4 linked regions of the Alligator mississippiensis genome follow. The protein of the gene in region 4 purifies or fractionates together with the protein of the main gene of each other region. This does not show direct contact. Links are inferred from orthologs where the notes say so. Each region holds a gene or a part of one and is shown on either strand. Other genes may lie near its edges.

The links.
Region 1: the proteins of AAR2 (region 4) and DDX23 purify together in Homo sapiens (affinity purification with mass spectrometry; 3 studies listed by BioGRID and IntAct, counting the BioPlex papers as one, with this or other methods). This does not show direct contact. The link is inferred for Alligator mississippiensis from reciprocal best matches to the Homo sapiens genes AAR2 and DDX23.
Region 2: the proteins of AAR2 (region 4) and C12H9orf78 purify together in Homo sapiens (affinity purification with mass spectrometry; 3 studies listed by BioGRID and IntAct, with this or other methods). This does not show direct contact. The link is inferred for Alligator mississippiensis from reciprocal best matches to the Homo sapiens genes AAR2 and C9orf78.
Region 3: the proteins of AAR2 (region 4) and TSSC4 purify together in Homo sapiens (affinity purification with mass spectrometry; 3 studies listed by BioGRID and IntAct, counting the BioPlex papers as one, with this or other methods). This does not show direct contact. The link is inferred for Alligator mississippiensis from reciprocal best matches to the Homo sapiens genes AAR2 and TSSC4.

Annotation. Positions count from the first base shown.
Region 1 is NC_081838.1:6,588,221-6,595,492, forward strand, and holds the start of DDX23 (probable ATP-dependent RNA helicase DDX23), read right to left. Parts: upstream 3,019-7,272; 5' UTR 2,921-3,018; intron 2,724-2,920; coding exon 2,524-2,723; intron 2,387-2,523; coding exon 2,288-2,386; intron 2,109-2,287; coding exon 2,006-2,108; intron 1,900-2,005; coding exon 1,834-1,899; intron 1,600-1,833; coding exon 1,461-1,599; intron 1,355-1,460; coding exon 1,221-1,354; intron 1,012-1,220; coding exon 899-1,011; intron 729-898; coding exon 585-728; intron 216-584; coding exon 1-215. Other genes in the region: RND1 (rho-related GTP-binding protein Rho6), read right to left, coding at 4,083-4,328, 4,499-4,633, 5,203-5,312, 6,028-6,115, 6,218-6,337. UniProt on the Homo sapiens protein: Involved in pre-mRNA splicing and its phosphorylated form (by SRPK2) is required for spliceosomal B complex formation.
Region 2 is NC_081835.1:58,725,852-58,733,781, forward strand, and holds the start of C12H9orf78 (splicing factor C9orf78 homolog), read right to left. Parts: upstream 3,012-7,930; 5' UTR 2,951-3,011; coding exon 2,871-2,950; intron 1,856-2,870; coding exon 1,796-1,855; intron 722-1,795; coding exon 670-721; intron 404-669; coding exon 333-403; intron 137-332; coding exon 59-136; intron 1-58. UniProt on the Homo sapiens protein: Plays a role in pre-mRNA splicing by promoting usage of the upstream 3'-splice site at alternative NAGNAG splice sites; these are sites featuring alternative acceptor motifs separated by only a few nucleotides. May also modulate exon inclusion events.
Region 3 is NC_081825.1:188,812,353-188,819,197, reverse strand, and holds the start of TSSC4 (U5 small nuclear ribonucleoprotein TSSC4), read right to left. Parts: upstream 3,005-6,845; 5' UTR 2,900-3,004; intron 399-2,899; 5' UTR 272-398; intron 1-271. UniProt on the Homo sapiens protein: Protein associated with the U5 snRNP, during its maturation and its post-splicing recycling and which is required for spliceosomal tri-snRNP complex assembly in the nucleus.
Region 4 is NC_081832.1:22,956,642-22,964,214, forward strand, and holds the start of AAR2 (protein AAR2 homolog), read left to right. Parts: upstream 1-4,572; 5' UTR 4,573-4,603; coding exon 4,604-5,345; intron 5,346-7,573. UniProt on the Homo sapiens protein: Component of the U5 snRNP complex that is required for spliceosome assembly and for pre-mRNA splicing.

The sequences.
Region 1 (7,272 bases), on a different chromosome or scaffold from region 4:
ACTTGTCGATCACCTCTAAGATGTGGGGAGGCAAGGAGGAGTCCTTCCAGGAGCGGATGGGGTTGGGGATCTTGCCGCCCTTGGTGGTGATGCTGTAGTCCTCGCGGAAGATGCGCCAATCTCTGTCCGTCATTTCATCCAGCTTCTTCTGCGACCAGTGCCGGTCATCCCAGCGCTGCTTGGCTTCCTTCTTCCGCAGCTTGCGCAACCGGGCCCTGCGGGGAGGGAATACCGGTAATCAGGTCTCCCGTGTGCTCTGCTGGGCAGAAGCCACCTGCCACCCTTGCTGGGCAAACGTGGGGAAGAATGTAGCCAGCCTCACCTCAGACATCCCAGAAGCACCTCAGCTCTAGCCCCATGGAGGCCTCACACCTGCACCCAAACCACTTGACCTCGTGCCCCATCCCTGCGCCCTTGTAGTGCAGCTAGTGCCTGTGACCGGCCCTGGGAACCCTGCAGCCGTGGACCAGACCCAAGGCTCCACACCGTAACCAGCGCCCCCAAAACACGTCTGGTGTCAGAACCTCCCAACCCTGGAGCCAGGCTCGAGAACGCCCACCCCCTTCACCATAGCAGCCACTCACTCCTCCTGCTCCTTCTCCTCCAGTGTCCGCCGCTTCTCCATCAAGTCCCCGTAGAAGCGCGACTGCTCTCGCTTCTGCTGCTTCAGGTCGATGCCGGCAATGAAGCCGCGGCCCAACAGCTGCACCTGGTGCCGCTCCTTGTACCTGCACAACAGGAGGCGATGGGGTCAGGGCAGCTAGGGCGGCACCTCAGGCTGCTCTGGTGCTCCACAGCCAGGTAGGGAGGGGAGGGGGGGACAACACGGGAAGACCTCCTCTGCCCTGAGCAGGTGACCCCACGGCACCAGTCAGCCACGGCTCTGGGCCACACTCACAGTGGGTTGTAGTCGATGGACGTATCCTCAGATGCGTCCCACTCGAAGACAAACTTGCGGTCGTTCAGGTGCCGAGTGCGTCTCCGCTTCTTCACACCACCCAGGTACCGCTCCTGCGGGCAGCATAGCCATCAGCCCCCACCCGGCAGATGCAACCAGCCCCGGGAACCTAAGAGAAAGGGACTGCCAGCCCCCAGCTCCATTCCTTCAGCCCCCACCCGGCCCCAGAGCTGCAAGGGAACTGAGGCATCCTGGCTCCCAATCCACAGGAGATATAGACTCCCTGCCCAGGGGTAGCAGCATGACCGGGGGAGCCGAGTACCTTGATGGCGTGCAGCTCCTTGCTCTTGTCCTTTTCCTCGCGGATCTTCTGCCGCCCCTCTTCGTCCTCATTGCCATTGGTCTCGCGCTCCATGCGCTCCCGCCGCTCTCGGCGCTCCCGCTCCTGCGGGTCCTCTGTGGGGCAGGCAAACGGGGACTCAGCGTACCCCGTACTCGAGGGCAGCACCGAGGGCCCTCCTAGGACTGGGTAGGAGCCACACAACCCCCGACAGGCACTCACCCAGCATCTTCCTCCCCATATCCTGGAACTGCTTCCTCTTCTTCCTCTCCTCCTCGATCAGCCGCTGCCGCTCCTCCACTTCTTGCTGGCGCCGCTTCAGTGCCTCAGCCTCCCGCTCGGCTTTGGAGAGAAACTTGGGCTGGAGGACAGAGGAGGCAGTGAGCACGGCCCAGCAGCGCAGCAGCCCTCCATGCTCCCATCCTCTCGCACAACCCCAGGCACGATGGGCTGCCTGCCGTACCGCACTGCCCAGCGCAGAGCCAGGGACCCAGAGGGTAGCAGCTTTCTGTCTTGGCAATAGTGCAGACCAGGCCCAGCAACAGGGAGGAAAGGAGGCAACCCCTCAACAGCATACGGCATTGCTCATCCTCACCTTGGCCTCTGCCTCCTCTTCAGCCTTCTTCTTGGCCAGCAGCTCCTCCAGCGACAGAGGCTGGGCCTGCAAACACAGGACGGGGCCGTCAGAGCCCGAGAGGCGCGCCAGCCCCGCACCGCGCCAGGCGGACCCAGTGCCAGGCTGTGCCTGCCCCTTCCTGACACCCCACCTTCTCCTTCCTCAGCGCCGCATCCTCCTCCTCCTCCGCCGCCCTGCGGGAGTCTCTGTCCTTCCGAAACTTGGAGTCTTTGCCTCGGCTCGGGGACAAGCTCCTGCGCGGGGGACACCAGGCACGGGCCCCAGCTCAGCCCCCTCCAGCTCCTCGCTGGCGGGATCCCAACCACCCGCTCCAAGGCCCCTCGCCTTCCCCGCCCGCCCGCCCACACGGCCAGGCAGGGAGGGAGGGAGCCTCCAGCCACTCGTCCCGCGCTCCCGCCCCATCACGACCGACCTGGAGCGCTTGCGGTCCTTGTCCCGCCGGTGCCCATCCTTCTCCCGGTCGCGGTCCTTCTTGTTCCTGTCGCGCTCCCGGTCTTTGTGTCGCCGCTCCCTGCGAGCGCAAAGCCCCGTGGCAGCGGCCGCAAACACCGGGGCCCGCCCGCCCGCCCGCGTCCCCCCGCGCCCCAGAGCTGGCTGCACCCCCACCCCTCCCCGGGGCACAGGGCTGCCCCTGCCCCTGCCCCGCACCTGTCAGCCGACTTGGACCTGGAGCGGGACCGCGATCGGCTGCCCCGCCGCCGCTCCCGGGACCGGTGCCGCTTCCTGTCCTTGCCCGGGGGGCTCTTCCTGTCGCGCTCCCGGTCTCGGTCCGGGGAGCGCGAGCGCTTGCGATCCTCCTTGGCCGGGGACGGGTCCCGCTCCTTCTTCTCCACCAGCTCCCCCGCCATCTGCCGGGGCCGAGACGCTGTCAGGGCCGGAGGCGAGACCCCGCTGTCCCCGGCGCCAGGGGGAGGCTCCCGCCCGGCCCCCGCGGGCATCGTGGGGGAGCAGGGCGCGGGGCCCCAGCAGGCGGGCGGCCCCCCGGGGAACCGAGAAGCGAGCTGGGGGAGGCGGGGAGGGGGCCCGGGCGTCCCACCGCACTCACCGCCGCCGGCGTCACCAGGCCTCGGGCCCCTGCGCCGCCGCCGCCATCTTAGCGGGCTCACTCCGGAACCGGGCCCCGCCGCGCGGCATGCCGGGAAGGCGAGTCCATTGCCCCGGCGCCGACAGCTCCCAGGAGGCGCTGCGTGGCCTGGCCGGAACCGACTCCATTGGCTCGGCGCCTACAGCTCCCAGCAGGCGCCGCGGCAACAGACCAGAAGGCGGCCCCATTGGCCCAGCCAGCGCCGCGCGGCCCGCTGGGAAGGCGAGAGCGGCCGCGAGGCTCGCCGGGAAATGTAGTCGCGGGCCGGGCTCCGCGCTGGGGTTAACCCTTTGCAGGCTGGAGCGGGCCGCGCGGGGTACCCCTGCACCGCACCCGGGAGTCTTGCTCCCGGCTCTGCCACCGACGCTCCTCCCCGCCCAGGTCACCTCCCTGCACCTCCACAACCCACCCCTGCTCCAAAGGCTGCTCGCCCTCCACAGACAAGAGGCACTAGACACAGGCTGCTGCTATCCACTGTATTTTCCATAATAAATAAGCTTTTTAATAACACTGAACATGGAACAGAGTCACCCCCCCAGACAAAAGGTCTATAAAACAAAAACCACCCCCACCCCACAGTCCCATCCCCCCCCCCCCCCCCCCCGCAGGCAAAGGCGGAGCTGCCCCTGCCCCGGGGCCAGGTAACATCAAGGCGAACGGCCGGTGCCAGGCAGCGCGGGGGCCAGGGACAGCAGCGGATGGAGACGACAGGGCACGGCTGGACAGCGACTGGGCGTTAGAGGGGAAACAATGAGTCTGTGGCAAGTTGTCCTGGCTCCGGGGGTGCAGGAGCCGCCATCAACCAAGCCCCGTCTGTGCCAAGCAGCCTGGAGCAGCCCCAGGGTCACCCCAGGGCCCCGGCAGCCCCTCTCCCCGTCCCCCGGAGAACGTGCGCGGAGCCTGTGTGGGAAGCATTGCGATGAGCTGGGCCGATTCTGGGGTTGCTACAGCCGGGGAAGCCTCCAGGCCCCAAATCCCCTCTGCAGGGGAAGGCCTCACCATGGGGCCCGCTCCTCTGGCGGGATATAACCCAGCTCCCAGCTCCCCCCTGCTGGAGCAGCCCTCCCCCCCTCCCCATCGTGGGGGCTGGAGAGTGTCCAGGGGCTGGAAGCAGGCCCCCCTTTCACATGACAGAGCAGCTTTTCGCCTTTTCCTTCTTGAAGGTGGAGGAGATGAGTTCGGAGCGGCTGGGCAGGTGCAGCAAGCGTTTGGAGAGGCTGCGTGCAGGGCTCTTGGGGGGCGGGGGGCTGCCCTTGCTCAGGCAGACGCCAGAGGCTGTGCGGAAGATGCTATGGACGCTTTTCTCCGAGGTGAAGGCAGAGCACTCCAGGTAGCTCTCAGCTCCCAATTGCTTGGCCACGGCACAGCCCTGCAACCCGAGCAAAGAGAGAGATGAGGGGGCAGCTGGAGGCCTGGGAGCCTGGCAGGCACCAGGAGGGGAAGGTCCCAAATGCTACGCCCCAGACTGCTCAAGCCAGAGCCAGGTCCTTCTAGGCTACGGCTGGAGCTGGGATAAGAAAGCAGGACGCTGGTACTCACCTGCTCGTAGGAGACAGGAGCCTGCTTCTGGTGGGACAGCTCCAAGAGAGTGCTCAGATCGGTTCGCAGATCTGTCTTACAGCCGATCAGCAGCACCCGGGTGCTGGGGCAGTAGTCCAGGATTTCTGTCTTCCACTGCAGGGACCATGGAGGGGAGAGGAGGGTCAGGGGGCCCTAGGCCAACAGCCCCAAGCTCTCCCTGGTACCACCCCAGTGCTGCCCTGGCTGGGGAGGGGGCTGCACCCAGCTCCAGGGGTGTAGGGGCATTCCTGGGTGCTGAGCCTGGTCCCACTGGAGCCCTGGGGAGGGGGTTTCAGAACAGACCCCTCCACCTCTGCAGATGAGACCATGGAGGGGGTAGGTGTCACATCCAGCTAGCAGCAGGACCAGCCCCCCATGCTAGAAGGGAACAGCAAGTGGCTAATGCAGAGGCACCCTGCCCTATGCCCCCCGCCCCAGGCAGCGCCAAAATGGGGGGGGGGGGGGGGAGCGGGGGCAAGGTAGTCCTTCAGCCCCATTCCAGCCCAGTCCCATGGCACCAAACAGCCCAGGGTAGGGGGACACTAAGCATCCCTTTAAAATCAGGCCAAACCCACAGGGTAATCAGCTGGACACAGAGCCTGGCCAGAGGGCACTTCTGCCCCTCTTGGGGGTCAGCCCCAAGACCCCCCTGCCCCAGGGTGGGAGGGGGGGGCGAGTATCACCTTCTTGAGGGCGCTGTCCAGGGTCTCGGGGCGGCTGATGTCAAAGCAGAGCAGGACAGCGTCCGAGTCGCTGTAGCAGAGGGGGCGCACGTTGTCGTAGTAGGGGGACCCTGTGGGAGAAGGCAGGGGTCACCGGGGGGTGCTGTGGGCTGGCCTGTTGCCCCCGCCAGGCCCCAGGGCCAGCTCGTGCCCAGCAGCCAAGTTCCCTCCTGCCTCCCTGCAGATTTTTGGGAAATGGCTCCTGTGCCATTTATATAACCACCACCCCCTGCTCCCTCCCCTTGCAGCACCAAGCTTGACACGGCCCAGGGAGGGGGGCAGTGGGTGCCCACCCGGGGGGCAGCAGGGTGGCAGCTGCAGAGTGGGGGGGGGGGGTACAGTTACAGATAAAGGGAACAAAGGAAAGGATGTTGCACCCCCAAGCAGAGGGGGGCCCCAGCACAGCCCCCGGGCTGGGATGCGGGGGTGGGGGCTGCCCGGGGCCCCTCCCCAGCCCCCCGCCCCCCCAGCGCATCCAAGGCTTTGCAGCCCAGACGCTCCGTGCTCAGAATAGCAAACAGCGCCGGCTCCTGCGCCAGCCCAGCACATCACCATAGCAACCGGGATGGGGGGGCTGCAGGGGTGCTCCGGATTGGGGGGCTACAGGGGTGGCAGGGCTGCCCTGCACCCCCTACCAACCCCCCAGAGCCTCCAATTGCCCCCGGGACATGCCCGCAGCTCTGCAGTGGCAGAGCCACACGGGGGGAGGAGGAGCAGACAGAACAGAGACGCGCCCCCCCCCAGACACGCATGTCAACCCCCCCCGCGTATCCCCCCCCCCCGTACCGGAGGTGTCCCACAGGCTGAGCTCCACGCGTGTCTCGTCGCCCTCCAGGCAGGCCGTGTAGTTCTCAAAGACCGTGGGCACGTATGTCTGCAGGCAGGGGAGGGGGAAAGAGGGGTCAGCCCCGGCCGGCCGAGGCCACGGAGGCGGGCGCCGTCCCCCCATGGGCCGCCCACGCGCGACCCGGCTCACCTCGGGGTAGCAGTCCTTGGCCAGCACCTGCAGCATGGCCGTCTTGCCGCACTGCACGTCGCCCACCAGCACCAGCTTACAGCGCGCCACGGCGGCCGCCGCCGCCCTCCGCTCCCGCATGGCGAGCAGCTCCCACGCGCGACCTCCCCCCGCGCGGCGCAGCGCCCCGGAGCCCCGACGGGGCGGCCGCGCTCTTATAGCGCCGCGCCGGCCAATGGTGGCCCGGGGCGGGGTTCCCACCGCCCAATCGGAACAGCGGGCAGCGCACCGGCCGGCCAATGGCGGCGGGGCTGAGTCACAGCGGCCCGGGCTGGGGTCGCTGCCCCCCGGGGAGGGGGGGGGTCTCGGGTGGGTGACGGGGGTAGGTAGGGTCTCAGGTGGGTGTGGAGGGGAGGGCTGGGAGTTGGGGAGGGGTCTCGGGTGGGTGCTGGGGTGGGGAGGGTCTTGGGTGGATGCTGGAGTGAGAAGGGGTCTAAGATGGGTGGGGGCTAGGGGTGGGGTGGGGTCCCGGGTGAGTGCTGGGGTGGGGAGAGGTTTCAGGTGGATGGTGGTTAGGGGTGGGGGGTCTCTGGTGGGTGCTGGGATGGGGGGGTCTCTCGTGGGTGGGAGGATGGGAGGGGGTAGGCGAGAGCTAGGGTGGGGAGGGGTCTTGGGTGGGTGTGAGACGGGTGGGGTTTCGCGTGGTTGGGTGCTAAGGCTGGGTGGATGTGGGGTGGTAAGTGTCTTGTGGGCCGCTGGTGGGGGGTCTGTTGAGTGGGGCTGGTGCCTCCTGTGCTAGGGGTGGGGGGGTCTTGGGTGGGCTGCGGTTGAAGGTGGGGCGGATGCCAGGGCTGGTTGGAGGGGTCAGGACAGGCTCTAATTGCCTCCCTCAGCCCCCAGGCTTGCCCCCACCTGCCCTACAGGGGGTCTGGCTGGGCAGATCTGCCCCCTCCCCCCCCCCCCCCCCCCCGGCCATCTGCAGGGTCACACCAGACTTTGACCTGACCCAGGGGGGCTCACCCTCTGGGGGCATTGGGACATTAGCAGAGACCCCTCCACGTACCCCAGAGCACACC
Region 2 (7,930 bases), on a different chromosome or scaffold from region 4:
CTTAAGGCACTTCATTCCTCATGGTGAATCACTACATATAAACACAGCAAATGCCTACATGTCAGCATCTTCGTCCCTCCTGTTGGTTTCTGCTGAGAAAGAGGTTCCCAGGTTGAGATCTTCCTCTTCATTAATCCTAAATATTAACAAGAATATTACGTTACTAAATAATTCACTGACTATAAGCAACCCGACAAACGACTTCATTTAAATTCTTCAAAGCACAATGCTTGAAGCACTTCACCTTCCTTCTTCAATACTGAAAGAGTCCTGCGTGCTGCCAACTCTCTAGCATTAAAGGAAGAGTCATTTCAGACTTCTCAGACACTCACCTGTCTTTCCCTCGTTCTTTCAGCTTTTTCATGTCCACCATCCCACCTGTCTTTATCTTAAAAGGGTCATCCTACAAAAAGCAGAAACAATTCAAAGGCATGAAATATGTCCCTTAATCTATACCAGCCCCAAAGTTACTTTCTGGAAAACCCTCTTCTCTGAGCATCTGGTAAAAATGCCTAAAATTCCCTCCATTAGGCTGCTATATCCTACTAGCCTTTTATGATGGCCAGTTGCTACCCAAAACTAAGTTTTCCAAACGATCTATTGTACAAAGTAGATGCTTTCCCACAGGTATTTATCAGCAGTAAGGTAACAGAAATATTCACAACTTACCACCAATGTTGTCTCTTCTTGCATTTTCTCCCCTACAAGCAAGGCCACAGCACTAGCAAAGCACACAAAAAAGAAAACTAAGATTCACTGAGTGAAAAAACCCTGCTCTTGCATTATCATTCATTATAAATACCACATTAATTTTTTTTAGTATTTTCCAACATCTACTTGAAGGTCTCAAACTGTTTTGCTGATATTCAATATTTAAAACATATATCATCCATCCAATTTAGGGAGCTCTGAGCCCCATTTTCCACACAGAAAAACTGAGGCAAAGCATGATTAACTGACATAAAAGGTCACAAAGCGAGTCAGCGTGAGGAACAGAATTCAACACAGAGCAAACCTTGATTCTCAGTACCCTGGCATAACCTAACAAGCCTCCTTCCTTAGATCACATGGATGATAGCAAGTGAGACTCATTTTAAAGACTAGTTTTCCAATTCCCTGTTTATAATCTATTACACGTGTTACAAAGTGATGTTTAAGACATGAGAAACTGATCCACACATCATAACATATGGTGATATGACACAACTCTGAGAGAGAAATCTGACCAGAAGAATCATGGGGGAGGGCAAATCCACACATTCATTAACACACCATAATTACGGTGCATTAAGTTTAGTACCTCTAATGACAGGTACTAACTTAATGCACCATTTTCAGCTCTACTGTGCATTAGCCCAGATGAACATTTTTTGTGATGTTAATGTGCATTAAACTAAATCTACTCTGCATTAGCACACTTTTTCCATGATGCGATAATGCGCAGTAGAATTAGTCCAATGCGCATTAAGCATCTCAAGTAGATGCACCCATCGTTAACTAACTTTAAGGTCTTTCAGTTTTAAAGTAGGCCCAAACTCTTCATGGTTTTGGGCTGCAGCTCTACAGGGAACCAGTATTCATGAACATGGTTTACATACGACTGCAGCTGTGCCCAGTACCAACTTTTACAGGTCTTTGGACCGTCAAGAGGCCTTCTCCTCTCCCAGGCCCAGTTCTTGGGGCCACAGCGACGTCCTTCAGCGCCGGGGAGTACGGACGACAGGGAGGCCAACTCACAGCCACAAGGAAGTCTCTGACCCAACATGAGCTGGCGTGTGTTTGCTGAGACACTCACCTCACCCCATTGGGCCGCCTCCTCAGGCTCTGCACTTCCTTCGCTTCCTCGAGCTTCAGCCTGAAGGAAAAACGTTACCTTTGTGAGCTGGTTGGGGCTCCTCTGCGCCCACTCCCCAGCGCACAGACCACTCTCACGTCAAGCATTGGAAAAGGGGGGGTTATTGCCCTGTGTAGCCCTCACACTCCTCTGTCGTGTGCCATACTACAAGTTGTATTTATTTTGATACTAAAGTTTCTAGGATTGTGATGGGGGCTTTACAGGATACGGGAGGGAGGGACAGACTGAAAGTCCTTGTTCCTTTTGGAGAAACATCATTTCCTGTAACTCCACGGAACTCTCCCTGACCCCCGCGCGGCCCCTCATCGCTTCTACCCTCAGCTTTTTCTCTGTAAAACAATTGCAGCTGTGCACCATTGACTCTTTTCCAGAGGAAAAATGGAAAATAGCTCACGCTGTTGGGATACAGCTCAGCCCGTGGCACAGTGGGTGCACAGAGGTGCACGTGCACCCCTGACAGGCCGCGCTCCCCGCTTCGGTGACAGGCGGGGAGGCAGGTGCGAGCGCCGGGCGGGCAGCGGGAGCGCTGGATGAAGTGCCGCGGCCACCTCCCGGTCGGTGCAATCAGCGAGATTGGCTGCGGAGGACCCCCGCCCTTGGTCAGCGAGATCGGACACGGGGAATCGGCAGCAGGGGGGACCCCAGTCGCTAACTAGTCGCTGGGGGGGCACGTGCCCCCCCAACTACGGTGGCACCAGCCGCCCGTGCCGTGGCGCACACACAGGGGGGCTCTGCGTGTGCGCCAGCACGTACACAGGCGGCTCCAGCGTTGCCAAATCTGAAACGATCACATTGGGAGCACACGCCGGGAAAGCACGCGAGTCAATCGTCCTGTTCACTTATCCGGGTCACTGCGAGTCCCAGCGAGCGAGGCCGACGCGGAGGCAAGCAGCTCTAGGCCGGCGCTGGCGGCAAACCCCCAGCTCGGCTGAACGCGGGTCTGGCGCCCGCACCCCCGCAAGGACAGTGCCACAGTCCGCTCACACGGCCCCTCCTCCTCTCGCCCCGCACCCACCGGACCTCCTCGGTGACATGCTGGTCCTCCTCGTCCTCCTCGGAGTCCGCGCGCCGCCGGAACACCCGCCCCGCCGGCATCGCGGCCCGGGCCTGCGGCTCGGCTCCCCGGGTGCCCTGCGCTTCCGGCGCGCTGCGATGACGCAGTGGGCGCGATGACTACGCGGTGCGTGCCGAAGCCGCGGGCGTGCCCTTCGTGGCGCGCTGCGCCACTCCGCCCAGGTCTGACTCGCTGTTTCTCGGCTCCTGTCCGGCGCGTCTGCAAGGGCTGCGCAGTCTGCTCCGGCAGCGTCTCCCCTGGCCCGGGCCGAGTCCGTGTGGACGCTGCCCCTTGCTGGGGGTCCACGTGTGGTCCCTCGCAACCGATTGTCCCCTAGGAAAAGATGCTGTCCACGGGGGGTGGCTCCCAAAGGTAGCCACAAGTCACCCCGCATTGGTGCTAGATGAGTAATGCAGCTGCATTCATTGGTGACGTGGCGGGGGGGCACGTGCCCCCCCGAGCGTGGCAGTGCACCCTTGCACGTGCCCGTCGTGTCCCCCAGCCTCCGGCGCACGCGGCATTTGTGCATTTATATTGTAAATAGCAATCATATTGATTGGGAAGCACTTCTTTGGGGTGACTTTGGACGTTTGGAAGGGCTCTGGGTTGGGCTTGTTGTTGGCTGGAGTCTCGGCCGCTTTCTTAAAGAAAGTGTCCGAGGCGGTTGGGGCAGGCGTTGTGCAGGGAGACGGGCGACGCAGCCACTGTGTTCGTGGCGTGGCGTCGGATCGAGTCGAAACAGGTCAGGAAGTCGAAACGGGCGTCAATTTATAAACCTTGTAAATGCCGCCGGGTCGTTGGAGCTCGACACGTCTTAAGTCGAGGACGGCCTGCAATGAAACGCTACATCAGTTACCCTTTACGAAACGTAATAAAAAAACCATAACAATACAATTGTCCGAAAAAGTGAAAGGATTTAGAAGAGTTGAAGCAGAGGCTCGGGGACCTGCTGCCTTGCCCTAGGAGCCCCGTTGCTCCAGGCGTTTAAACTGGATTGGACCCAATAGCAAACATGCTGCAGGGAGCAATCCAGCACCCGCGAGCACAGATCTTTTGTTTGCTCGCGTGATTCTGCGAGTCGGCTTTTCTTTTAAAATTACTCGCGGATTCTCTTAATAAGCGTTTCCAAATTGCATTTTAATGCCGACAAACCAAATTCATCTCTTAAATGAATAAGCGTTTCCAAATCACATTTTGTTAATGCCGACAAACCAAATTCTGCACCCCCATTTATCACGTGACTTCAAACCCACCGTGGATGCCCTGCAGAGAAGCTGCTGCCGTGTTTGGTGTGTTTGTGTGCAACACCCTGGGTTGTTTGCCGGGTGGAAGAATATTTTCCAAGGGATGCGGTGTAGCAATTATGCCGCGTCTGTTAGCCTCTCTCTGACTCGGTTTCGGCATCTGTAGATCAGGGATAATTCCTATCGCACGCAGGAGTTACTGTCAGTAAAAAAAAAATTGTGAGCCTTATGGGAAGGATGCAGTAGCAGCACAGAGCATTAGGTTGTTACCAAATCACCCCATTTTCAAGATTTTATTTTCTCAGCCCAAATGTCCTATATTCAATAAGGAGCAACTTCTGACTTGACTGAGGCCAAAAAGAGCTCTGCTATTGACTCTGATGGAACCTGCATTTGTCCCCAAGTGCTCTGAGGCTGTGAAGTTGGTGGTGTTTATTTGTACATCACAAGTTATTTGTGTCGGCAATCTTGCATTACAGCTAATGGGGGGAAAAGTGTGCATTATGCTGCTGGCTTCTTATGAGCACTTCAACAAGAAGCAAGGAGCAGGTGTTTACAAATATTCCTCACTGAGAACTTCCTGTATAATCTGCAAAGGACGAGTGGCTTGCATTGCTGGACAGATTCTTTTCCCTTCCGGCTTGTATAACAACCTCCTGGCATCAGATGTGATTTTGCAGGGCCAGTAAATGTTGCAGGATGCAGATTTAGCCACTGGATGGGGGACTTTGCTAATTAGTCATCTTGGCTACCAATTGGCTGAGATCCCAATATAGATGTATAGAAACTCCCCCAGTACAGCTTTGGTGCATGGGTGCCGTTATGCCCTGGTTCGTGTAAGTAGATTCTTGAAAACACGTGAAGGATCCGGGCCTGTGCAATGACATTGCAACATGAGATGTCTCCAGATGGGTGCCCACGGGCCTTTATGGTTCGCTCTGCGGATGAGAAATACTAGGTATGATTAATTATTATGTTATCAACATTTTAAGCAACTATCAACCAAGAGCTTGGGAAACAGATTTGGGTTGGGGTTTTTTGGGATGGTCTAGTGCATAACAAAGATCAATAGCCTTCCCCCTGTGCCTGCCCTTTTACACCTTGGAGAGAGCATAGCTTTTAGCACAGAACAGCGACAACAGCCCAGAGGGAGGAAGAGTAAAGCTGAGGTCTGTGTAAGGACAAAGAATAGTTGCTAAAAGGGCTGCCAAGCCGTGGAAATCTCTGCAGCCCTGTCAAAGGCTGGAGCCAGGCTGCAAAACTGCTGCACTTGCATTCTGTACCCGGGCACTAGTATGCGGCATATATTCTCCAGCCTTTGGAAGAAGCAAGGAGCTATATTTCTCCTCCTGTTATTATTTGCATTACAGTGGTAGCTGGAGGCACCAGTCAGGAAGTTGGGATGCGCTGTGCTAGCTCTAGACCACAGGCGTACAGGATGGCCTGAGCATCTTTGCTTTGCAGTAAAGGAGTAACTAGACTGAGCTGTCACGTGGGTGCTGAACGTGCCCTTGGTTCCTGCGTGGTCTGCGCCTCATCCCCTAGACTGGAGTTCGCTAGTTTGAGGATCGTTTCTTCTGGTAAAACAATATGCTGTCAACTCCATCTGTAGTGTTCCCCGTGACTTACTACAGCCGTGTTAACCTCCCTTCACGGTCCGTCCCCATCCTTTCTTAATCAGCCCAGAGCCAGTATGTCAGGTGCTTGCCTTGCCAACGCTCTCCGCTGTCGGGTCGATGCCAGCAGGCTCTGCGGCGCTCTGCGCCCAGCTCCTCGCTGCGTGCAGTGCTGCCCTGCGCGTAGCCATGCCCTGTCCTACCCAGCCTGCTCCTGGGCTCCATTTGGGGGGGACATCTGAGCGGTGGGGACCAAGGTGTGAATGCCCCATGTGGGGTCCAGCTCCGATGCGTGCGGTGACCATCCTCTCTGCAGCCAGCGCTGGTCTGGGGCTCCTGTCTGGACCGCCCCACCCAGCCTGGGCCGCTCTGCTGCGCCTTTCCGTGTCTCCTGGCAGTCCACGCAGGGGTATGGAAACCTCGTGGCCAGGGAGCTGGCCAGCTCCCTTCAGCCCAGCATGCACCATGGGAGCTGCCCCAGGGGACCGCCTGTGCAGCTCGCTGCCAGGGGCGTGGAGGGCCCCCATCCTTTGCCTCTGCATGCCCACTGCCTCCTTCCCCCTCCAGGCCTGGCTCGTCCTTCTCTCCCCTCCCTGGCCCAGCCCCTGGCTCCTCCCATGCCGCCAAGCTGCAGCTCCTAGGCGCTGGCTTCCCTCCTCCCTCCGGCAGCAGGTAACTGGCCTCCCTCCCTGCCCCTCCATGCTGCTTCTGGGGCTGAGCCCCTTCCCTGGCCGCGGTGCTGGCCTCCCCATCCCCTTCCCCAGGCGGAGCAGGCACGCTGGGGCCTAGCCAAGGGACCGAAGCCCCGGCCTTTCGTAGCCGGCCACCCAGGGAGCTGGTGGGGGGCATCCCTCCTTCCAGGGCCAGCCGCCCTGTGGCTCCAGGGAGCAGCCAGGCAGCCAAGCCTGGGGGTCGGCTTCAGAGGGGCTGGGGAGGGAGCTGCTCTCGGTGCCCGCCGTGCTCCTCCAGGCACCCCGCAATTAAGCACAGGGTGTCGGTGACTTGTCAAAGCCACGTCCCTGCCTGGCGCAGGGGGAGAGGCGGTGGGGAGACGCCCCCTGCCTGGGATGGGGAGGCCGGGGTCTCTGGAGCGGCTGCGTGACTCCAGACAGGACTGACCTCGCTGGGGTAGGGGGCCCAGAGGCTTGCTCTGGTTGTTTGGGGGGGGTCCGCATGCTGCAGGGGGTAGGGTCTCCAGGGTGTGCAGCCCACGGGGCCCCCTGTGTGACGGCGCCGCGTTCCCTGAAGGGGGGAGGCAGGAGAGGCATCACGGCGGGGTTGCAGAGGTTTGGGGGCTTGCTACTACTTGGGGATGAGGCACAAGGGTGGGGTCAGGATGTCGTCTCCGCTGGAGGTGCAGATCGGGGGAGTTTGATGACAAGGGGTTGCTTTTGCATTCTCCACTGTCCCGTGGGAAGGGTGTGTCCGTGTCATCGGGTGCGAAGGGTCTTGGGGTGACAAAGCAGTTACCCCCACTCTGAAAACCAGCCTGGGAGCCCTGCGCGGTCGCTACCTTGGCACAGGTATGATGCAGCCCCGGTTTCCTCAATTCTTGAGATTCCAGAGCTGCCAGAAGAAAGCCCCGGGACCCGAGCATTTCCAGCACATGTAGGATTCCCCCCCAAAACCCTGGTGCCTCCAGCAGTTAATTGTGTTGTTGATCTTTCCAATCTTGGCGCTTAGCACTGTGATCTTTGCTCTGAGCTGAGTCCCTTGGCAAGATAATAGGCTTTTATCTTAAAAGGTATATTAAGAACCACATTCATTAAATATTGCTGATCAGTAAGTGGGAAACAAGAACACAGAAGCAGCCAGCTTGAAAGCTCAGCCTGTGAAGCAGGGGGTGGGGGGATGATGCAGCACCAGCTGTTGGGAAAATGATGAGTAATGCTTGCTGCTTCCACCAGGAAAGGCAACCGATTGCTTGGCTGGAACCACGCTGCCTGGGGTTTGCTACCGCTGGTATTTCGGTGCTTGGTGGTCCTTACATGCTGATGAACTCCTTCTCTGTCTTATTTAGCAGAAATCCAGGAACTTGCATCCTCTCCTAAGCAACGATGAGCACCTGTGTCTAAGTGATGTCCTTTGATAATTATTATGGCATAATTGTTGAAGAAAGAACTGCGCTGGCCTCAAAGTACAGGTATCAGAGTTTGTTCGG
Region 3 (6,845 bases), on a different chromosome or scaffold from region 4:
TATGGATCAACGGCTTTTGTAAAAATAACAACAATCCCTCAGAACCAGGTGGCCGACTGGGTGGCAGTAAGTCTACCTGTATATAGCCTGCTTTCATACTGATGCCAGGGTGATAGTTGACTACATTTTGGTGAATTAAATTGCCTAACACTCCAGGACTGGTAACAAAACAGTCCCTGTTTTGGGACCCTGTGTTGGGACCCTGGGAACCTTTTCAATTCTGGAGAACATCGTGCTCGAGCAGTGACCCCTACTCCCCAGACAGACTCACAAATTCGTTGTGGTGATCCGAATATGGTACAACTCAGCTAGGACGGCACCTCTCTGAATGGATAGGTCCCCGTCAGACTCTTCCATCCTGGTCTCAGCTAACAGGGTTCTGCTGGATCACTTGTGACCTGCACAGGGGTCCAAGAGTTAGTCACTCCACACTTGGGCAATGAGCCTTTTATCACCATACTGAGTACAGAAGGGGAAAGAGCAGAGACTGGACAACAGCTACGCTAACACTGTAAAGCTTAGTGAAGGTGGCCATATAACTATGCAAACACAAGTCATGGTTTATTCTGAAATAATTTACCTTGGCATTCACACCACAATAAAACCACTCTGGTGTCCAGAATGAACACACAATGACCAATTCACCACACGCTGGCATTTGCAATACACACTACTGTAAGCCCTTGCCAGTCAGCAGATAGGAAGCCTATAGTCCACTGAGCAAAGGACTACCCTAGAAGGAAGTCATGGACATCAGATGGGTACTATCAGCATAATAGAGAGGAGGATCCTGGCAGAGGTACCACCCTGCAGCCAGGGATGGACACACAATCTGCTCTCCCACACTGGCAGCCAGAACACAGGGTAGCGTTGCAGCTTAGAGACCAGTAGTTCTCCGCCTTCTTAGACACAAGGCATCCCTCGTTAGGCCCAAGGCCCGCCCCCCTCTCCCCTTGGAAAACTCTGGCTCTTAGCTTTCACTTGTGTTTTGACTACAGGAAAGATCAAAGAGCAATTATTCAGCTGCAAAGAATAATTTCACAACAGGTCAGAACATTTTTAATGTTGGAGGTTTCAAATTGGAATCCTCAAGTTTATCTTGTGAACTGTGTTTGCACACCTAACAGTGCTACCATTGCGTGGCACCCCATGGCACCCTCAAAGGACTCTCAAAACATCTCAGGATGCTGCAGCACCCTGCTTGAGAATCACTGTTATGGACTAATTATGGGGTGTCAAAGATATGGCCTGGGAGCCATAGATGGACTGTGAAGTATCATCAGCTGCCCCTTCCACCCCCCATGCTGCCCCTGGGACTTGCAGTTGACCCACACACACCAAGCACTGAACCAGCCACAAACACAGGGCCTGGGATGAGTGCCACATCTGATGCCACATTTGATGCCCACTCTGGCTGGTTTGGACCTTATGTTGCATGGCTGGTCCTAGGACCACACCACATGCAGTGTGTGCAATGCAGGTCCGAGACTGGCCGAAGCAGGCACTGCACGTGCTGGGTCTGATACCCAGCCCATGGATGGACCACAGGCCGCTCATTTGGCCTAAGGGGGGGGGGGGGGGGGGGGGGGGGGAAGAATGATGCTGACTGCTGGGCAGATGGGGGGCAGTATGACGTGCTGGGGCTCTCCTCACTTGAGGCAGCTACCCATCCCCTAGGAACAGGAGCTTGCGCTGCTGCCACCGATTTGTGGGCAGGGGCATGAGCTCCCAGGGCCCCATTCACCCCCTAGCCCCACGGGCAGGGCTGAACCCCCTTTGGTGAAGCCTCCCAGGGGAAGGGGGCGTCACTCCACCCTTCTCCCCCTCTTGAAACACTGCTGGGCACAGTGCTCCCCAGCTCTGCCTTGCTGGGAAGAAGGGAGGAGGAACCCCCCACCCCCACAAAGCGAGTGCTAGGGGCGGCTGCTGTGCTTGCCTGGCCCTCATTATGCCAGGGGAAACAGAGATACGTAAAGCTTTCTGGAGATACTTCCCAAACTTTTCCTCAGCATGAACCCATTTATGGCCCCATTTGCTCAGCATGACCCCTCACTCCCAACCCAGAGCCGCCCACCCCCGTAACCCTGATTTCGCAACCCCATCTGGCATAATGACCCACAGTTTGGGAACCACTGGGCTAAGTGCAAAGAAGCTAAGTGCCCAGACCCCCTCAGCAATGAGACCCATCTGCAATGAGGGGAGGGGCTGGGCGGACACGCAGGGTCTCTCACAACCACACGCCCATGCACACCCTTGCCTGTGCACCCAGGCACACACGTGCACACACCTGGGCATGAGAGGCCCACAGCCCACCCCTCCCTGCCACAAGGAGGAGGTGGGCTAAGGAGGGTGATGCTGTTGTGCACACAGCATCGCCAGGTCTTAAATATGAAATTGTTGTATCGGAAGCTCAAAACGATCGTATTTGCTGAAAAACTATTGTCCGCTGCAAAAATATGCAAATAACTATGCAAATAAGCCTTCTTCTCGACTTCCTATTGCTCACGGCAAGTCGCCGGTGAGTCAGCAAGGACTTCAAGTCGAAGCATTTCTTTATTTGGAGGCTAGGGCTGACAGCAAACCCAGGTGTCATCTAAGACTCCCTGAGAGCGACTTCGGATTTGCATTTGCTGCCTCAACAATTACCCTACATTTCGCGCACTTTTACTACCACTGAACATACGAGAGCTCCAATGATCCTACGCAGAGGCTAATGATCGCGCACCTCGCAACACTGCGCACGCGCGCACAGGGCTGCCCTGCCCCCGCATCTGCCCTTCCGCGGGCCGCTCCGCGCCGCATCGCCCCGCCCCGCCCCCTTGCACAACGGGGGGTGGACAACGGCCGTGCCCTGGTGCCTGCCCCCCGCCCGCGCGAGCCCAACGGCAGCCCCGCGTACCTCCGCGGAGCTCGAGCCCAACCACTCCGCGCCACGGTCGCGTTCCTTCCGGGGCGGCCCCTGCCCCTCAGCGCCCTTGGCGGCCACCGTCCGCGCGGGGCAAGCTGGGAAAGCGAGTCCGCTCCGCCCGCGGAAGCTCTAGCAAGGCGCGGGAAGTGGCAGGCGCCCCGAACCACAGCTCCCATGGGGACAAGCGGCAGGATGGGCAGGGCAGGGGGGAAAGGGCAAGGGCAGCTCGTCCCTCCGCTTGGCCTGCTGGGAGTTGTAGTCCACGGACTCTCGGGGGACATTTGGCGAGCCTGCCCCCGCCCCACCCCGCACGGAAGGGACTGCGGCCCCCATAATGCACCGCGGTGTTAGCCGCTCTCGTCGCCGCGCCCTGTTACACCAATGGGGTGGGGTGGGGCGGGGCGGTGGAAGGTAGACTGCAGCCAATTAGGTGCTTGTATTTTGTAAACCGCCGCGGGATAGGTCGGGATGCGGGTAGCATTCTAATCCGCAGCCTTGTGGTCCCCGGTGCAAGCGTTCCCTAGTTCCTCGTGAGGGGTGTGGGGTAGGAGCATCAGAGCAGCCCCTTACGGAGGGAGAAGGAAAGTGAGGCACTAGCAACCGCAGGGGAGGTTAGCACGAGCCGTCTCTGGGTGTAGAGTCGTAGAGAAGCAGGGATGGAGGGCTGCCCAGAGATCATGTAGTCATCCAGGCCCCCTCTTGGGAGCAGGGCAAGAGCTTTCTGTGGCAAGCCACACTTGATCTCCCAACCTGCTTTCTCTGCTAGATGAAGGAGATGTCAACATGCCTCTTGCTTTTAGAGGTGGGAGGGGAGTGGGATACAAAGCCAAGCGTGGCTCATCTGAGATCACTCACACCCATCATGGCTTTGCTATAGGCATGCAGGGAGGGAGAGCCAGGGGGGAAGAAATAAACCTCTACCATCAAAATGAAGGAGGATAGTTTGGCCACCGTGGGGCTGCACAACATGGCCAGCTCTGACCATCAGGGATGTAGTGCAGTGGCATAGCAAGCTCGCTGAACGCCTGGGGCGGGCGGTGCGGGGTGGAGGGTGAGGGTATGCTGGCCACACAGATGGCGGCAGGTGGGGGGTGGGGTGCCTATGGCACGGGCAAGGGGAAGGGAGGTCACACCTGCCTGGGCTAGCGCTGCAGATTCTCAGTGTCAGCAGTGCGAGCTCTGCTGTGGCCAGGCTTCCTCCAGCAGATCCGGGTGTCCTATTTGCTTCCCCCCACCCACCCCAACCCTGATACATGTTGGGAGTAGGGCTGGGGCTGCTTTGCCAAAGGCTCCCCAGGGTCAGGGGAGAACCATTCCACCTGTCCCATTCGCCCCCCACCCCCTAGATATGTTGATGGGTGAAGTGCTGCCCTGCCCAGCTCCCATGGCCCAGCAGGGGCCGCCTAGGGGCTTCCCCTGTCAAGGCAAGGACTCCCAGAAGGGGAGGTGGATGGATTTTGGCAGCCTCTCATAGTTGGCGCCTGGGGGTGGTGCCCTGCTCACCTCATCCTAGTTAACACTATTGCTGTAGCGTGCTGTTTAGATGAACACAGTTAGCTGGTCCAGCCTAGACTGGGCTACAGTATGGCGCTGCTGCCACAACAGCTATATTAGCATGACTGGCAGCAGGGGCCCCAGTAGAGCTATTTCAGGGTTGTTGGTTGTAGCCACGTTGGTCTAAGGACATAGGCAGGCAAGGTTCTTTGGGTAGGTGGGATATCTTTTATTAGATCAACTAAATAGTTGGAAAAAATGTTCTTTGCAAGCTTTCAGGCACAAGCACTTTTCTACCTTGGGGAACATATGACACCAGTAGAGTCTCCCGATGCCTGAAGAAAGGTGTTTGTTCCTGAAAGCTTGCTTGCAAAGACCATTTTTTGCAAAAGAAGATATCACATCTACCCAAATAACCTTGCCTGCTAGTAGAGATGTGGCATTGAATAGCTAAAATCTGGATGAAGGAAAGCTGCCTCAGGTGATTTTTCTAGGCAGGGTCAGAAAGGCAGTAAGTCTGACAGTATTTGGGAGACACCCTCATATGAAGGCCCTTAGCTTCCAGCCAGCCCATAAACAGTCTGGCCCAAAGTCTTTAACACAAGACCAGTCTGGAGCAAAGCCAGCGATGACATTAGACCATGTCCCTAGGGATTTGCTTTAAGGTCCCTTTAGTCCCAGTTACACATCACTGTATAGGCCTGATTTAAGCCAGTGAAAGTGAGAGTGAGTCCTTCAGAAGAGGTCAGTGGGCTCTGAAACAAGATGTAGGGAATAAAAGCTTTTATTTAATTAGTTTTCTCAGCACTGGATAGATAACTCAGAAACAATGTGGCCTTTACTTAGGGGCCTACATATAAACAAAAGCTGTATGTTTGTGCCATGTGCCAGCATATCATATTGGGACAGGAGCTGTATTGTATTCCAAGCTTACCTGCCTCAGGGATTGCTGAGATACCTTTCCTCATGGCTTCCAAACACTGCTTCACCTCTAGCGTTGGTGAAAAATGTGTGATGTTAAAGGCAGGTTATGTTTGTGGCCTAAAAGATCTGGCTGAATCCCTTTAAAAATGGGGCCTCATTATGAGTCATCCATAATATAAACTGCAGCCATTTCATTTGCATTGTCGGTTTTAAATATATATCACAGCCTTCTGGAGTGTTGCTAACTACAGTAATTTATGACCAGAGAGCTGTGTTTGGAATATATTTGGCAGCAATGACAGGCAAGGTTAGAACAAAATGTCTTTCATCTGGCCAGAGTTGTGCTGGAGTTTTAAAACAACACTAATACAGGCTTTTCCCCATTCAAAGATCTGTGCAGCATGGAAATTCATGGGATCGGCCTTTCCCAGGGGCTGCAGAGGGTTGTGGGGTACCACCTAGGAGCTCAACAGGGAGCAGTGTATGGGTGGGTTGGGTGGGTAGAGAAAGAGCATCATTGGAAAGAAAAGAATAAACAGTGGGTGCGGTCTAAGGGAATAGGGTAAAAAAAATCTATTTGCAGAGTAGAGGGTAGTATTGGGAGCATGGCAGGTGATGCACTCTAAAGTGTGGATGGGAAAGGGCAGGAAGAGAGCAGGGGAGAAAGCAGCAGCCGGTCCCATTTTGTAAGATCAGGCACAAGCCGTCTATCACATGGCGAGGTGGATTTGGAGTTTCACTGGAATCAGAGAGAGACCGTTTTCCAGTCCTCGTTCAGGTGCCAAAGTGGCCAGAGGCGTGAAGAGACCTTTCTCCATCACTGCCACCTTCAGCACCCAGGTGCCTTGTGGGCCATGCACCATCAGGAGATATTTTACTTCTTTTGTGCTCCACTTTAGTTCCCTTTTTAATGGCTTGTGTTTCCTGCCTGCCTGAGGGCTGAGATCACTGTGAAGTCTATGTCGCCCTCCCCGCCCTTGCAAGTTGCTACCAAGGCCCATGTGCTGCGAGGCATTAAGGCTAGATTTGTTTTTCCTAGAGGCTGGTGGCAGAGCAGTTTGTGCTGGCGGCGTGTTGGGGCTCTTGCAATTGCTTGGCGACACCAAAATAAAAATAGTGAGTCAGGGCTCAGAGATGAACAGATGGTAAAGCAATTTCTTCTAGCTCGTGTGAGCGGAGGCAGCTTGGTAGGATGGAAACACAATTCTAGGCAACAGCGCAGGAAACTGTCAAAACGAAAAAGCCGTGTTTTCTGAGTACTTCTTCAGGGGTTGTTTTATCACAGCCCAGGGGATCTCAGGAGAAGTAGCCCTGCACAGCTGCAGAGGAAGTGATCATATCCCCTAGAGGCGTATGCATATGCCTGCTGGTCCTCAGCCCTGTGGTGTGAGGGCTGTAGCCCAGAATAAGCGGACAAGCTCACGCAAACCCCTGCATACTGGGTGCTCCCACCCTCAAATACATCAGCACAGTGCAGAGCAACCAGTCATTCAGCCTTTCCCTCCACACAGCTTTAGCA
Region 4 (7,573 bases):
ACCGACATTGGCATCTCTATTCAAACAAAGCTGGAGAACAGTGAAGAAGGGGCCTTCATGCTGGATTTGTCAACAAGACAGACATCCTGGCTGCAACCTTAATGGCGAGAGACAAAAAAAAAAAAAAAAAAGGAATAGCGAATATATATTATATATATATATATATATAAATATATATATACACACACACAAGAAACAAAACGCATCCTTGCACTGCTGCTATATGCTGGAGATGAGATGAATTACAAACAGCAACATCAATAACAGCAAAACCAACCGCCTCTTTTAGCCTTTGCGGAGAAAGTGATGAATTTGACTGGACTGATAAGAAAAATCATGATAATAATAATCTTATTAATACAACAAACCGCCATTTTGCATGTTCCATTTAAAGGATACACAGATCATGGGGTCATTTGTTGCACACTGAATGGAAAGGAAAGATGCTTTGCAACAAAGCAAGAAACAAACAAACAAACAAAAGAAACCAAGCGGAAACAAAACTATTCCCCACCTAAGGAAAGAAGAGAGAGAACCATTGAACTGTTTTGATTCTTTCATGATTATTTTTTGCATTTGGGATGTGTGGCAACCACCTCTCTTCCCCATTCCATGCTGGTTCTATTGCATCATTTTTCAGTTGTTATGCTCCTCCCCAACCTCCCTTCCCTTTCCTCTGTCCCTTTATCCGAGCTCTTTTTCCGAAGGTATTTAAGAATGGATCTAATTTGAAACAAAACAAAAACAAATATATGTATATGGTTTTTCATTTATAAAGATGCAGCCTGTAAGGGTTTCATATGGATGTGCTTTTAAGTTATGTATATTATATATAACAAGGGGGGTGGGGAACTGAGGGGTGGGAAACAATATTAAAATAATTAAACAGTGCTGGTAAATATGATGATGACATTTTTAAGTTATAATTATTTGATTGACTGTGGTTGATGTATTACAAGAATCTTAGATCACACTGACATCCCGCAGGAAGAGGATGGGGAACATTTCATTAACCACTGCTCGCTGTGGGGTGGAGAGGAATGTTGCATTTGTCACTGAGTGATCAGCTCTGTGGCAGGAGGAATTGATGTAGTGATACAGTATATGTTTGTAATTGGTTGGTTGGTGACAAAGGAGTTCTTGGTAATGTAAAGAGGCGAGGGCCTGGGAAAGAAGGAATGGACAGTTATAACCACAGCCCAGTTAGCATCACCAAAATGCACCAGTCAGCAATGTCTCACCAGCCCCCCCAACAAAAAGATGCTTCCCACCTTTAGGAGTCCTTGACACCCCCCCCGATCTGGAGTCCCCACAGCAGTAGAGAGATCATGTCATACTCCTCAGCGATGTCTTAAAAACCAGGACCAAAGTCTGAGTTACAGATCCATTCCCACACCCTACACCTACTGAAGCAGGACACTTGCATAGCTGCATTTCTGAACCCTGGTCTTGATCTAGCTCAAGTGAAGTTGAAGTGGTGTGTTTCAGATAAGCAAGAGGGTATTTCTGCTCTGCTTGGCTTTGAAGCAGGCTGCACACCTGGTTTCTGCTAAGGTGACCATAGGCGTTATGACAGCTCTCATGAGGGGAGCTGATACACAGCAATCTCCATCCTTTACCTCTTTGGTACTGTTCTACCACAGCCTTGCCTAGAGTATACTCCTATCTGCTGGCAGTTGAGAAGGTGACTGTGTGTTACAAAGATGTGTGAGTGCAAAGCTTAGTAGATTAGCAAGGCTGAGTAGCCTTGTCCAGTCAGCCAACACTGAGAGGCAGTTGCTGATGATGCACCAGTGTCCAGTGAGGCTGCTTTCCTCTCTATTGGTCAGACTTTTGCACCTAGATGAAGGTTTCCATCACTGGTACACTTGGAATGGGGATTATGGGTGCCAGCTCAAGCCTCATATACTGTCAACCAAGCAGTTAGGGCAAACTCAGAACCAAAAAAAACAACAAAACAAAAAAAAATCAACTGATTTCCAGAGAAATTGTCCCAAGCTCCTCAAGTTACAGAAGGGCCCATAAATATTGCACCATTTTTGCCTTTTTTCACAGACCACAAACATAAAGAGACCTTACACCAGGTAGAAAACTCTTCTAAATGATTCTTGTGATGGGATCAGAGGGTTGTATTGAAAAGGGATCAGTAGAATAATTAGGATTAAGTGGACGTACCCATCTGATCAATCTGCTGCCACAGCAGAGAACTTCGGGCCTCTGGTGGATCTTGGTCCTTCCATTTGCCTTCTACTATGTCCCCACAAAGTCTGTTCTCCTTTTGGCACATCAGTTTCTCCCATAAGCATTAATGGCATGAGCACAGCCTCCCTGATAAAAGAATTGATTCCTTTGCTTCTGCCAACAAAGTTTGTGTCAGATTTCCAATGAATCCAAATGTGTATTTTTTCTCCCAGGATTCTCCACCTTATCACCCGATGCTGCTTTAGGGAACTGTGCCCACCAACATCAAAAAGAGACTGAGCCTTTGCACAGCAACCCACATGTGAACTAGCTACATAAAGCACTTGTGCTTTTGGGAAGAGAAGCCAAACTCCAGGAGATCTGTTCCCACAGCTGTGCAAAATATTAGGCATGTTTCTCCCATTGGCATGCTAGGGTGTGTCCCAGCGCAATAGTTTTTTTCAATACATCCTGCATTTCAAACCAAAGAGCAGCTGGTGCAAACTTGAGACCACTGACTTTTGAATAAGAGGCTACTCAAACTCTTCGTGCCTGATTCTGGTCTCTCATGATGGTTTAAAATTTGGAGCAACTTCATGAGCATCAGTGGAGTTACACTGCTGTAAAACCTAAGTAGGAGAATTGCACTCAGCCCCTACATGTTCAGATTTTTAAAACTGAATCCAGTTCTCTGGATTCTTCAACCCAACGTATCTGATGGGTGACAATGAAAAAAGTGGGGGAAAAAAGTGGAGTCTTTTGCTCACCTGGCAAAGTATGGATTTTATATATACAGAATATTTATTCTTTGTGATCATATTTGAAGCCAGGTGCCCCTTGAAAGTTTTGGCTTTCTTCTGCCTTGTTCATTACTGTTGCTGATATTTAAGGTAGCTGATCACTCTTTTTCTTTCATCTGGGGGCCTTTCCATCGAAGGAGGTGGGAGACGTGAGTGCCTGTTCATACCTAGTCCCACAAGTTCATTCCAGAATTGGCCTGCAATTGCATGAGTACTAATAATAATAATAATATTTATTTTTATTTGAAAAGCACCTTACCAACCAACTGCAATGCTCTGCCATTCCTTCACTAATTCCCCTTTCCTCTTCCCTGGTTCCTCTTCTCTCCTCCACTCCCTTCAATCATATCCCTTTCAGTGCTTGGTGATGTATGCGTGTGTGCTCACTGTTCTTGTATTCAATAAAAGTGAAATAAATGTGTTTGATGCTGAACCAGCTTGTGACCTGAAGCTGACTTTTCTCTGAGCAAAGCAGTGGCAGTTACTACCCTTAGGAGCAGAGACTCCTCAGGGTGACAGTATGCCCAGAGGCAGCTGGGTCTCCCACAGCTGGCTGTGATGAGGACGCCGAGCAAGGACCATACATTGTGGGTTGGGCAGAGCTGCCCAGGTTCTCATCCAGGAGCCTACCTAGTGCAGAGATCCAGTTGAGAAGAGGAAGGATGGGAGGTCATGCTGTCCTGCCAAACTTCACCCACAAAATACGTTTCATAGATTCATAGGCTACGTTCCACCCTTGCAAGCCACCGAAAGGGAACCCTGCTCACAGCAGGCTGTAGATGTTCAGAGCATGAAAGTACGTGCTGTCCTGGTGTCTCTGCATTGCTGGGACCTACTCCTGAATACATGTCGGTCCTGTTAGGTGTTTGGGGGCTTGGTTTCTTTTTGATGGGGAATCTTCAAATGTCTATCATTTGTGGCACTGAAATGACGTGGGGATAAAGGCAGGCTGGGAGGCAGAGCTTGGATGGGAAATACTGGGGGAACTTGGAGAGGAGGAAGAGTCTGCCATGAACTGCCATCCATGTGGGTGTCCCTGAAGGGTTTCTTTGTGGGAGAAGGGCAAGTCTTGTCCCTAATGCTCCCCTGGCTGAGGACAAGGACATGGTGGGAAACCCTAAGAGGATTTATAACCCAGGCAAGGATACATCATCAATTATACACCACAATCACGTTGAAGCATTATTGCGGAGACGGTTGCATGTTCTTGAGGGAAAGCAATGCCCACAAACAGGCATTCAGTGGCCCCATGAAACGAGCGGGGGCTCCCACGCTGCCTCCTCGGGGACGGGCGCACTGAGCCCTTGCAATTCACCCGGGGCTGACAGCTTCGCTAACGGAGCAGCGCGGGGCTGGGGGGCAAAGAGTAACATGGACTCGCCCTTTCAGCCCCATTCCTCCGGGCCGTCGTGGACAACATTGCCAGCGCGCCCGGGGCAGGCTGTGACGCGCCCCCGGTGGCGAGGCCCGGGCCACCGCCGTGTCGCCGGGAGACCGAGCCCGGCCCTTCCCGCGCGGCCGCAGGAGCCGCCCGGTGCTTTCGCGGCCGGACCCGCCGGAAGTCGCCGGCTCAGCGGAAGCCGGGGGCTCGCTTCCGTGCGTGAGTGCGTGCGGAGCCGGGCATGGAGGCGGAGCGGGCGCGGCGGCTGTTCGCGGAGGGCGCGGCAGTGGTGGTGCTGGGGGTGCCGGAGGGGACGCAGCTCGGCGTGGACTACAAGACGTGGAGCGTGGGGCCCCGCTTCCGCGGCATTAAGATGATCCCCCCGGGCGTCCACTTCTTCCACTACAGCTCCGTGGACCGCCGCGACGCCGGCGCCTCGGGGCCGCGCACCGGCTTCTTCCTCAGCCTGCGGCGCCGCGACCTGCGCGTGCTGCGCTGGGACCCGGCCACGGAGCTGGTCGACCTGAGCCCGGCGCCCGCGGAGCAGAGCGAGGCGATCCGGGCCAACCTGCTGGAGATGGACCCGTTCCTGGGCCCCTACCCCTACGACACGCTCAAGAAGTGGGTGTCGCTCAGCAGCTGCATCAGCGAGGCGGTGATGCAGACGCTGCAGCCCGAGAGCGGCCAGGTCTGCGCCTTCTCCGAGGTGCTGCCGGTGCTGGCGGGGACGCACGCCAAGGACCGGGCTGAGCAGAACCGGCCGCCCTACGACACCGAGTGCAAGAGCTATGCCGAGGGCCTGGCCCGGCTGCCCGAGATGAAGCCCAAAGCGGGCACCGAGATTCGGTTCACGGAGGTGCCGACGCAGATGTACCCCGACGGCGCGACCCCTGAGGAAATCACCAGGCACAACATGGATCTCAGCTACGCTCTGGAAACCGTCATAAACAAGCGATACTCCAGCAAACCTGAGGATGTGCTGGGTGAGTGAGAGAGTTTCCCGTAACTAACTCTTTGCCAGCATGAGCAGCGGAGGGGGGGGGGATGTCCCCCTGTACCTGTTGTGCCAGGAACTCAGCCTGTGGCTTTGTCGGGGAATCACTGGGCCCAGGGGCTGGCACTCTTTCAAAGCGGTGGCAGCAGGCTGGGTGCTTGCAAACTGTGCCAGTCCCCTGTCCCTGCTGCTGCAATCCCTCCTTGCTCTGCGCCCCCACACGCTTACTGTCTGCTGCTGAAAGCCATGAAAAATGCCAGTGAGGAGCCGGCAGACAAGGTTCTTTGGGTGAATGTGATATCTTTTATTAGACCAACTTAAATAGTTGGAAAACTTTTTATCAGTGAGCTTTCGGGTTTAAAAACTCTTCTTCAGGCTGAGGAAGCACCTGCAGTTTGTATGCACTCTTCCTGGATGGAAGGAATAGTAAAGAGGCCAGAGGCTGATCTGCAGGCAAGACAGATAGTCAATGAAAATGTAAATTGAGGAGTCAGTGGGGGGGGGAATGAATGAATGTAGCAGGTAAATAGTAGAGAGGCGTTTGGGGAGTCGGAAGTCAAGTAGGTTATAATGTGTCATAAATCCAATGTTTATATTTAGTCTGTGCTTTTTGTAAATAGGAGGTTGATGAAGTAAAGTTCACAGGTTCATCTGTGAAAAGTGTTTTGTAAATTCCCTTTGAGGATTAGAACCGAGGAGCCGCAAATTCAGCAGTGAGGGCACAGAGCAGGAAGCTATAAGCAGCTATCTAAATGTGGTCTCTTTAAATCACCACTTTAATGCAGTCCATTTTCATCTGCATAATAGCTTGAATATGGTAGCTTTTCATCTCTTGTGTTCAAACAGCAGAGGCTGAAAGACTTGGGAATAAGTGATGCTTGTGCACTGCTGGTGACCTCTTCTGGTAGGATTTGGGGGTTGTGCAGAAAGCTTTGAGTAAATACTGTACAGAACAATGTATCATACATTATTTAGCGACACATTAGAAATTGCCAGCTGGTGTCCCTCAGTGGCAGTGCTTTAATTACCTGCTAATTCCAGTGGAAACAATGATAAATCCTTGTTGTATCAGAAGTTGTTTGAATATTCTTTCCTTGGTGGCATTGTATGAGGACTGTGAAACCAAGCAGGGACGGCATTGTTATCCTTTGGATAAATCCCTAAATGATGAAATATCAATTTTCATTTCTACCTAGGAGAACTTTTACTATCTTTGCAATCTCCTATGCCTAGCGAAGGGTGCCTGTGCCCAGAAGCTTGCAAATAAAGAATTTTTTTTGCAAATATCTAGTTGGTCTAATAAAAGATACCACCTCTGCCACAAATTTTGATTCCTTTTGCCTCTAGACCAATATGGCTACAACCTGGATACCTCCCTAGATGGTTGATATTTCATATCAATTTCTTGTTTCTTCTTTTTTCCTGTTAATTTTCTGCCTTTATGAATCATAGTGTGGAATGTTCTAGGACAGGGGCTGCTGATCTGTGGCCTGTGAAGCTGTGGCTGTGGCGGAGGAACAGCTCTGCTCACACAGCACTGCAGTAGGGCACTGAGGACTTTGGTGAGGGGGAGCTTTCCCTGTGCCACAGCAGGATGGCAGGGAAAAGTGGTAGATGCAGCCAGGTCCTAGTGCCAGCCCAGCTTAGCCCTGAACTGGGTCACTCTGGCTCTTTGCCAGCAAATGTTGGCAACTCCTATTCTAAAAAAAAGCTAGTTTACTTGCAAGTTAATTGTTTCTCGTAAAGCACTGGATAGTGTTAGATGTTGATAATTCTCACAAACAAGACGAGTCTAAACATTGGGCAATTTTTAATTTTGATCAGGAGTAGTACACAGTATACTGCTCACGTTAGTTATGCTGTACATATTAGTTATCGTTTTCTTGTTTTGATTGTCTGGCTCATCTGGCGGTACCCACACCATATTGTAGTTACAGTAGCAGCCTCGTTTGTCCTGTTGCCCTCCTTGGAAGCACAGGCTTTGGAAAGCCAAGAGGATAGGGATCACAGGAGGATGTAATGCCTCCATTTTTGTAGTGTGATAATTGTAGGTAACAGCGTTTTATAACAATAAAACAGACAATACCATATCCAAGTGTCTGGAAGTCACTTCACAGCAACGTTACTCTCTGATTCTATTTGATGATAAAGTGGCTCTCCACAGTAAACGGCTGTGCTAAACATGTCCTTTTTTGATTGCAGTATGCTTGTTTCCTA